Linked DNA regions of Macaca fascicularis. The protein of the gene in region 1 binds, or shares a complex with, the protein of each later gene. Links are inferred from orthologs where the notes say so. Each region holds a gene or a part of one and is shown on either strand. Other genes may lie near its edges.

What was found.
Region 2: the proteins of SDCBP (region 1) and SDC4 are in contact, whole or in part, in a crystal structure (PDB 8BLV), measured with the Homo sapiens proteins. The link is inferred for Macaca fascicularis from reciprocal best matches to the Homo sapiens genes SDCBP and SDC4. Residues at the interface, in NP_001007068.1 of Homo sapiens: Gly207, His208, Val209, Gly210, Phe211, Ile212, Phe213, Lys214, Thr219, Val222, Asp251, Ser252, Ala255, Leu258; in NP_002990.2 of Homo sapiens: Thr193, Asn194, Glu195, Phe196, Tyr197, Ala198.

What each region holds. Positions count from the first base shown.
Region 1 is NC_088382.1:68,549,547-68,553,364, forward strand, and holds part of SDCBP (syntenin-1), read left to right. Parts: intron 1-1,265; coding exon 1,266-1,344; intron 1,345-2,591; coding exon 2,592-2,701; intron 2,702-3,818. UniProt on the Homo sapiens protein: Multifunctional adapter protein involved in diverse array of functions including trafficking of transmembrane proteins, neuro and immunomodulation, exosome biogenesis, and tumorigenesis.
Region 2 is NC_088384.1:101,416,097-101,419,914, forward strand, and holds part of SDC4 (syndecan-4), read right to left. Parts: intron 1,360-3,818; coding exon 1,221-1,359; intron 1-1,220. UniProt on the Homo sapiens protein: Cell surface proteoglycan which regulates exosome biogenesis in concert with SDCBP and PDCD6IP.

The DNA.
Region 1 (3,818 bases):
TCTTTATAGCTCTTTTTTTTTTTTTTCAGTGCTGCACGGTACTTTTTTTGTTAGACGTGATTCAAGAAGTAATATAACAAGCCACTAGCTCCTTTTAGCTAATCGTGGTGAAAGAACTTTCAAAGTTCAACACATGTTCAATTTGTGGATTGTTATTTACAGTTATAAAGATGTTCATGCTGTATTTTGTTTAAATCTAGAATGTTTAACAAATTATGAAATAATAAATATTAAAGGATAACTCAACAAGTATATCAGAACATATGACTTTAGTACCATTCAAAGCTTTTGTAGGCTTTACTTATTTAACCTAAGCTTTCATATCTCCAAAGCATCTTTGGGACTACTCTTGACATTGATTTTAGGGCTAGGTTGAGATACTACTATGAACTTCATTTTTAAAATTACACGTTTCCAATAAAGTAAAAAGTTGGTAGAGATTGGTCATACAACTTATTACCAAACTTGTCTCTAATGACATATAGCTATTTCAGAAAGTAGATCTAATGGTAAAGGATAAAGTATTTCCATCAGTGAAAATACTTCATATGATATAGGCCATCGAGGCAGCCCTGAGAAGTGGATACTTGGTCATGAATAGCACTGATAAATGCTAGAGTGTCAGAGTGTGTCAGAATGATTTTGGCAAGTTTAACAGTTACAAATTATATTACCTTGTCATCATCCATTTATGTCAGTGATAAACTGTGCTATTTTCATAATTTCTGATATTCTAAAAGTGTTTAGCATAAATCCCTTGCTATACTTGCTGCGATGAAGATGATTTCAGTGGGACATGCTAAAATGGTAAATATTAGCAACTTAGTATTTATTTTTTAGGTGTTTTTCTGATATGTGACTTTTTATATGAATATGGGTATGCTTTTTTCTTATGCAAATAAAATGTTTTTACTTGGACTAATTAGTAAAAGAATAATGAAAATGTAAAATTTATCCATTTTAGAATGCACTTTGAAAATATTTATTGTGGCAGCACTATGAAATACTGGTTATAAGACATGTAGAATAGTACTTCTACAATTTTTTTGTGATAGCCTTAAAAGTATTTAGAATATCAAATATAATTTTGATTTGCAGATTTCCTTTGAAAAAATGTATTGCTGACATGTTTGAAATTAAACTTTCTTACATAAATCTTCATTGTTTTAGTTTCTTTTTGGAAGTACTGGATTTAGCTTATAAATTATATAAGTATATAAAGTAAGTATAGTGTATTGTTACAATTTTCTTCTTTTCTTTTTCAGGCTCAAACTGCTTTTTCTGCAAACCCTGCCAATCCAGCAATTTTGTCAGAAGCTTCTGCTCCTATCTCTCAAGATCGAAGTAGGTTTATACTTTGAGTTCATTCTCTGTGAACAGAAATATTGTTATCTTCTTTTGCTCAAATAAGGAATCCAAGATTTTTTTTTCTTGACAGGCTGCATAAAATTGGTAGTTAAGCTCAAATAGTTATGAATAAGAAAAAAAAGTTTACTTCAAAAAATAACCCTTTTTCTAATTAAGATAGTGAACTGTGGATATGGGGATGTATTTCATGGCTTAATGAAAATTGATTTTAGACTGACTTGTAAATCCCTAACATGTGGCTGATTCATTTATGAATGAATTATATATATGAATTCACATGTAAGAACTTTTTGAATTCACATTTAAGAACTATCATCATGCTGCTGCTGTTGAACTTTCTGAATTGTCTTCTGTCTTTCCTATGGGAGCTTCTGAAATTTCCAACCACCTCCTCTTTGGGAAGCCTCTTAAATATTGAGGCCTTTATTCATTCTCTGTATCCTGTCTTTAGTCCCTTTTTCTTCAAGGTTCAGAGGGATTCAGGACAGAGCTTCTAAATACTATGACTTAAGATACAAAATAAGTGTTAAATAAATTTTGTGGCCTGTCATTTTGTCTTACAACAGTTTATAACCTTGCCTCATAGAAAATTCATTTTAAGTCACAGATAATTTAAGTCTCATGTAGAAAAGAGCTTTTGGAAATAGTATATAACTACTACCAGGTGAAATAATGTTAATATTTAAAAATACCATTTGCAGGATTTCATTGGAATGTAGTTAAAATTACTAAAATTGATAAGACACTAAATAAATTTACAAGCTTTCAAAAAAAGATTGTTCAGAAGAATCATTCCATAGCCCTGTTTACAGAATGAGTTATAAAGTAGCTGACTTGACAAATAGATATTTTGGTCAGTTGTTCTGAATTGGTAAGTGGTATTTTTACTAAATTCCTAATCAAGTAGGTTTATTTTAAGAAACAGGAAAGGCAAGATAGTTTATTTGGAAAAGTTATTTCTACTTTTGAGTGTTTAGGAATCTGGTTGTTTCAGTTCAGATGTCTTCATATTTTATGAATTTTAAACATTTTCTGTATTTTCCATTTCTAATGGTTACAGAGATGGGGAGATGCCTTTCCAAATTGCTACTTTAAATTCATTCTAGATTTTATAACTTAAGTATAATTTCGTTAATACACAGAAGCCCATAATAAAAGAAGTTTTCATTTTGTGTATTCTGTAAGTACTTTTTAATTTATTCATTCATTCATTTACTTATTAGATCTCTATCCCAAACTATATCCGGAGCTGTCTCAATACATGGGGCTGAGTTTAAATGAAGAAGAAATACGTGCAAATGTGGCCGTGGTTTCTGGTGCACCACTTCAGGGGGTATGTACAGTGTAATTAATTTTGAATTATATAAAACCATACTTTACATATTAATATAAGCTTTCCTGTTTGTGGCTAACTCAAAAATATACAACAGCATTGAACCTCACTTCGCAGAAATTTTAGACTTCTTTTTGGATATCGTTTCTTACATAGTCTACTTCACTTTGTGCTACACGTTTTGAGTTTATTAGGATTTAGATTCAGATACCTTTTACTAGTTCATTCTCCTTTGTCTTCTGCATTTAGTCATTTACTAAGTCCTGTTGATTCTGTTTCTGTTTCTTGTATTCATTTTGTCTGTTTTTTATCCATTCTAGTCCTACTATAACCATATTCAGGGTTTCTATACTTCTAGCCTTCATTATTATAGTACTCTCTTAAATTTCCTCTAGTAACTTATTTCGATGGTACTAAGCTGTTGCTAAGTTAATCATTCTGAAATACACATATAGGTCTATCGTATCTTTGTTGCTCATAATCTTTTTTTTTGTTGTTGTTGTTGTTGTTGAGACGGAGTCTCACTCTGTCACCCAGGCTGGAGTGCAATGGTGTGATCTCAGCTCACTGCAACCTCTGCCTCTTGGGTTCAAGTGATTCTCCTGCCTTAGCCTCCCAAGTAGCTGGGACTACAAGTGCGTGCCACCATGCCCGGCTAATTATTTGTATTTTCAGTAGAGACCGGGTTTCACCATGTTGACCACACTGGTCTCAAACACCTGACTTCAGGTGATCCACCTGCCTCGACCTCCCAGAGTGCTGGGATTACAGGCATGAGCCACTGCGCCAAGCCTTTGCTCTTTAGTCTTTTAACATTCTTTTTGAAATCCAAAGCTCCATGTAATTAGACTCCATATTCTAGCTTAATTATAATGGATCTGATAACCTTTTATTAAGGTTATTGCTATGACCATAGCACTTTGTACCACTTATTATAATTGTAGTTAAATCTGTGTCTGTCTTGTTGCCATATCCCAATGCATATACAGTACCTAGCATGTATGTATTTACCAAATATTTATAGAAAACTTGTGTTAGTGGTGATGCAGTTGGGAAAACAAATAATAGTAGGTATTTTAAGAGGTTGAAAAATTGAAAAAAACATAATTGCAGATAG
Region 2 (3,818 bases), on another chromosome or scaffold:
GCCTCGCAGGTTCAAGCAATTCTCCTGCCTCAGCCTCCCAAGTAGCCAGCATTAGAGGCACCCGACACCACACCTGGATAATTTTTGTATTTTTAGTAGAAACGGGGTTTCACCATGTTGGCCAGGTGGGTCTCAAACACCTGACCTCGTGGATCTGCCTGCCTTGGCCGCCCAAAGTGCTGGGATTACAGGCATGAGCCACCACACCTGATCATAAAATTTATATTTTTAAAAAACCAAACACACATGTACTGAGTGCTTGGTGGGTGCCAAAAGCTTTGTCAGTTCAGTCCCCACAACACTGATGTACTTACTATCTTTATTATTCCCATTTTACAGATTAGAAAACTGAGGCTCAGTTCACACAGGGTGGAGGCTTGAACTCAGGACCATGTGACTCCAGAGCTAAAACTTGCGATCATTAACACCTCTCTGCACATAGGAGGGACATTTATCAGTTGTCTGGCCTGGAGGCCTTGGGCCCTTCACCCACCCCACCCCCACTGAAGCAGGGACTTGTTCTTGGTTTCCCAACTACATCTCTGCCCACTCATGCCCCCTCCCACCCCATCCCCACTTCTAAACTGCTACTTTTCTTTTCTTTCTTTCTTTTTTTTTTTTTTTTTTTTTTTGAGACAAAGGTCTCACTCTGTCACCCAGGCTGGAGTACAGTAGCATGATCTTGGTTCACTGCAGTCCCAACCTCCTAGGCTCAAGGGGATCCTCCCGCCTCAGCCTCCCAAGTAACTGGGACTCCTACAGGTGCATGCCACCACGTCTGGCCAATTTTTGTGTTTTTGTAGAGACAAGTTCTCACCATGTGGCACAGGCTGGAACTTTTCCTTTCAGAGAAAGGAAAACATTCTATGGGTCCTCTTTCGCCACCCCAACCCTGTCCTGCCACCCAGCCTACCCTCACCCCACCCCCACCATGCCCTGCAGCAAAGAGAAGAGCCCATGAGGACAGGTTCAGGCTGGAGCTCAGAAAACCCGGAGCTACCAATGACTTCAAAGCAGCACACAGCTTGTCCCCAGGGGCTCTCAGGGATGGAAAAGGTTAATCCATTACTTTTGTCTCCCCTTTTTTTGAGAAGGAGGAAGGGCATTCTAGGAAAAGTCCCACAAAAATCCAAGTCTCAAGGCATGGGCACCCTCCTGGTTGCTTAGGCCACCACTCCCTCCAGCTTTGTGCCTACGCCTGCCCACCACACCTTCCGTACCCAGATCTCCAGAGCCAGACAGCTCAAAGTCATCAGATTCCTGCCCGGGTCCCACTACATCCTCATCATCTGGTAGGGCTCCGGAGAAGTATCGGCCTTCTAGGAGGTCCTGGGGGTCGATGACCTCAGTCTCTCGGATCTAAGATAAAGAAAGGAGACACATCAGCCAACATCCCCAGTGCTCCATGACAGCCGATGCCTGAAAGCTAGTGAAGTGGGCATTCAAAAACTAAAAAGAGACCAGGCCAGGGCCTGGAGACCTGCGTCTTGGATCCCACTCTACCTCTAACTTGCCGTGTGTCCTTAAGCAAGTCTCTTTCCCATTCTGGGCAAATAAAAATAGTACATGAGGCTGGGTACTGTGGCTCACACCTGTAATCCCAACACTTTGGGAGGCTGAGGCAGGTGGATCACCTGAGGTCAGGAGTTCAAGACCAGCCTGGCCAACACGGTGAAACCCCATCTCTACCACAAATACAAAAATTAGCTGGGCGTGGTGGCTTGCACCTGTAGTCCCAGCTACTTGGGAGGCCGAGACAGGAGAATTGCTTGAACCCGGGAGGTGGAGGTTGCAGTGAGCCAGGATCGTGCCGCTGCACTCTAGCCTGAGCTATAGAGTGAGACCCCCGTCTCAAAAAAAAATAAAAATAGTAAATGAGGTAATAATCAAAGTATTAATATGGCTAGGTATCATTTACCAAGCACTTGCTGTGTGCCGGGCCCTGTTTTAATAACTCTGGAGGCATGTTATTCACTTATTTTTACAGCCGAGAGAGTCATTTTCTTTTGGTGACACAGCTGGCGGATGGAAGAGCAAGGATTGCACACACAGGGCTGCCTGACTTCAGAGCCAGGAGTCTCCATGCACAGGGCCCTGGGATGCTACACTCCAGGGCTCTGTGATGCAGGGGCAGCTGATTCACACAGGACAGGGAGTGGGCTGCTGGTTCTGGTCTTGCCCAGTCCAGGACACTTTTCCCAGCTGAGTCAGTCTGGGCCGGGACAGACAGGGCTGCCTCACGCACACCCTAAGACAGCCTCAGGTCAGGGCGCTGCCCAGACCTGATGACTCAGGAGTGCACTCCTGGATTCAGTCTTGCCTTCCAAACATCTCCCACAGATCGGCTCTGCTGGCAGCACCATGCAGACACCAAGAGGCACAATCCTCACCTTCACAGACCATCCACTCCAGTACCCATAAACGTCACTCAGCCACTACCCCATGGAGACACAGCTGATCATGACAGAGTCTCAGGTCCGCTCCCACCAAACAGCTTGCCAAAGGAAAGTGTCAAAGGTCCCGGGCAGCCCTACAGTACATCAGGTACCCTGCTCCCATCCTGCAGCTCCACGGAGTGGGAACAAAGCACCCTCAAGAGCACAGGAAGCATTTGGATGCCCATCACCCTTCCTCCAGCTTCTGGGCTCAGGCTTCTGTTTGCCCAGAGAACAGCTGCTCTGAGCAAAGTTCATTATTCTATTAATTAATTCAAACATTAAAGTGCCTAGTATTTGCCAGGAGACCTGGGGTTTTTCATTAAGTTCAATACACCATGCCCCTCCCGCTGCAAGACATTGCCATCTCCAGACCCCGTAACTGCGGGAGCTGGGAGTCTGCTTAGAATCACAGAATTCCAGGACCCAAGGAGCTCCTGTCCTCCTGTTCCACACAACTTGAATCTGAGCCTGGAACAGGGCAAGGACTTGCCCAAGGTCACACAGAGTGTTCGCTACATAACTCAGGATAGAAAGAGGTCAGGTCTCTGTTTCGGACATCCCAGCCTGTCCTTCACTCAGCTGAGACTGCCATTGACAAAGGAGGGGGTGTGAGAAGGAGCATCTGTCCCTGAGATAAGGCTACTGTCATTGCAGGAGAGGCCCAGGAAAGCTGCCTCGGAGCCACTCCTGTACTCTCCCCCTGGGCTTCCGGGGAGAGGCAGGTGGAGCCTGACCCTCATGCCCCTCTTCCACCCCCACAGTGGGAGGATGCTGGATTCTCGGAAGGGAGCGGGGTCAGGCTGCAAGAAAGGCAGTGGCCAGGAATCACTCTCTCCCCAGGGAGTGGGGAGAATCTCTGCTGAACACTTGGCACCCGTGGGGGTGGAAAGCCAGAGAGGTTAAGTCCTGGTCAGAGATGACTTCATGACTCGGGAATCAGGAGCTGCTGGGCTGCTGGTGCTGGAATTCAAGCCCCCGCATATAGCCCGTGCCTGTGGCTTTGGTTTGGCAGAGCAGGAGGAAGGCTCCCCGTGGCTGCCCAAGTGACTATACCTAAGGGCAGGGTCCCTGGGCTCCTACTTCCATCTCCTGCGGCAAATCCCCCAAGAACCCAAGTGACAGGCCTTCAACAAGCACACAGCCTCTCTAGGTCCTTTGAATAGTCCCTTTTTGCAGAGATGGAAACAAGGGCTCAGAAAAGTAAAGTCACTTGTCCAAGGTCACACGAGCAGGAAGTAGCCACACTGGACCAGAACCAAGGCATCACTCACCTGGATCTTTAACCACAAACACATAAACACACGCATGAACACATATGCACACGGGGCCACCAGCCTGCCCCAGGCTCCAAGGGAGCCCTGTTAAGTCGGTGGGGTGGGG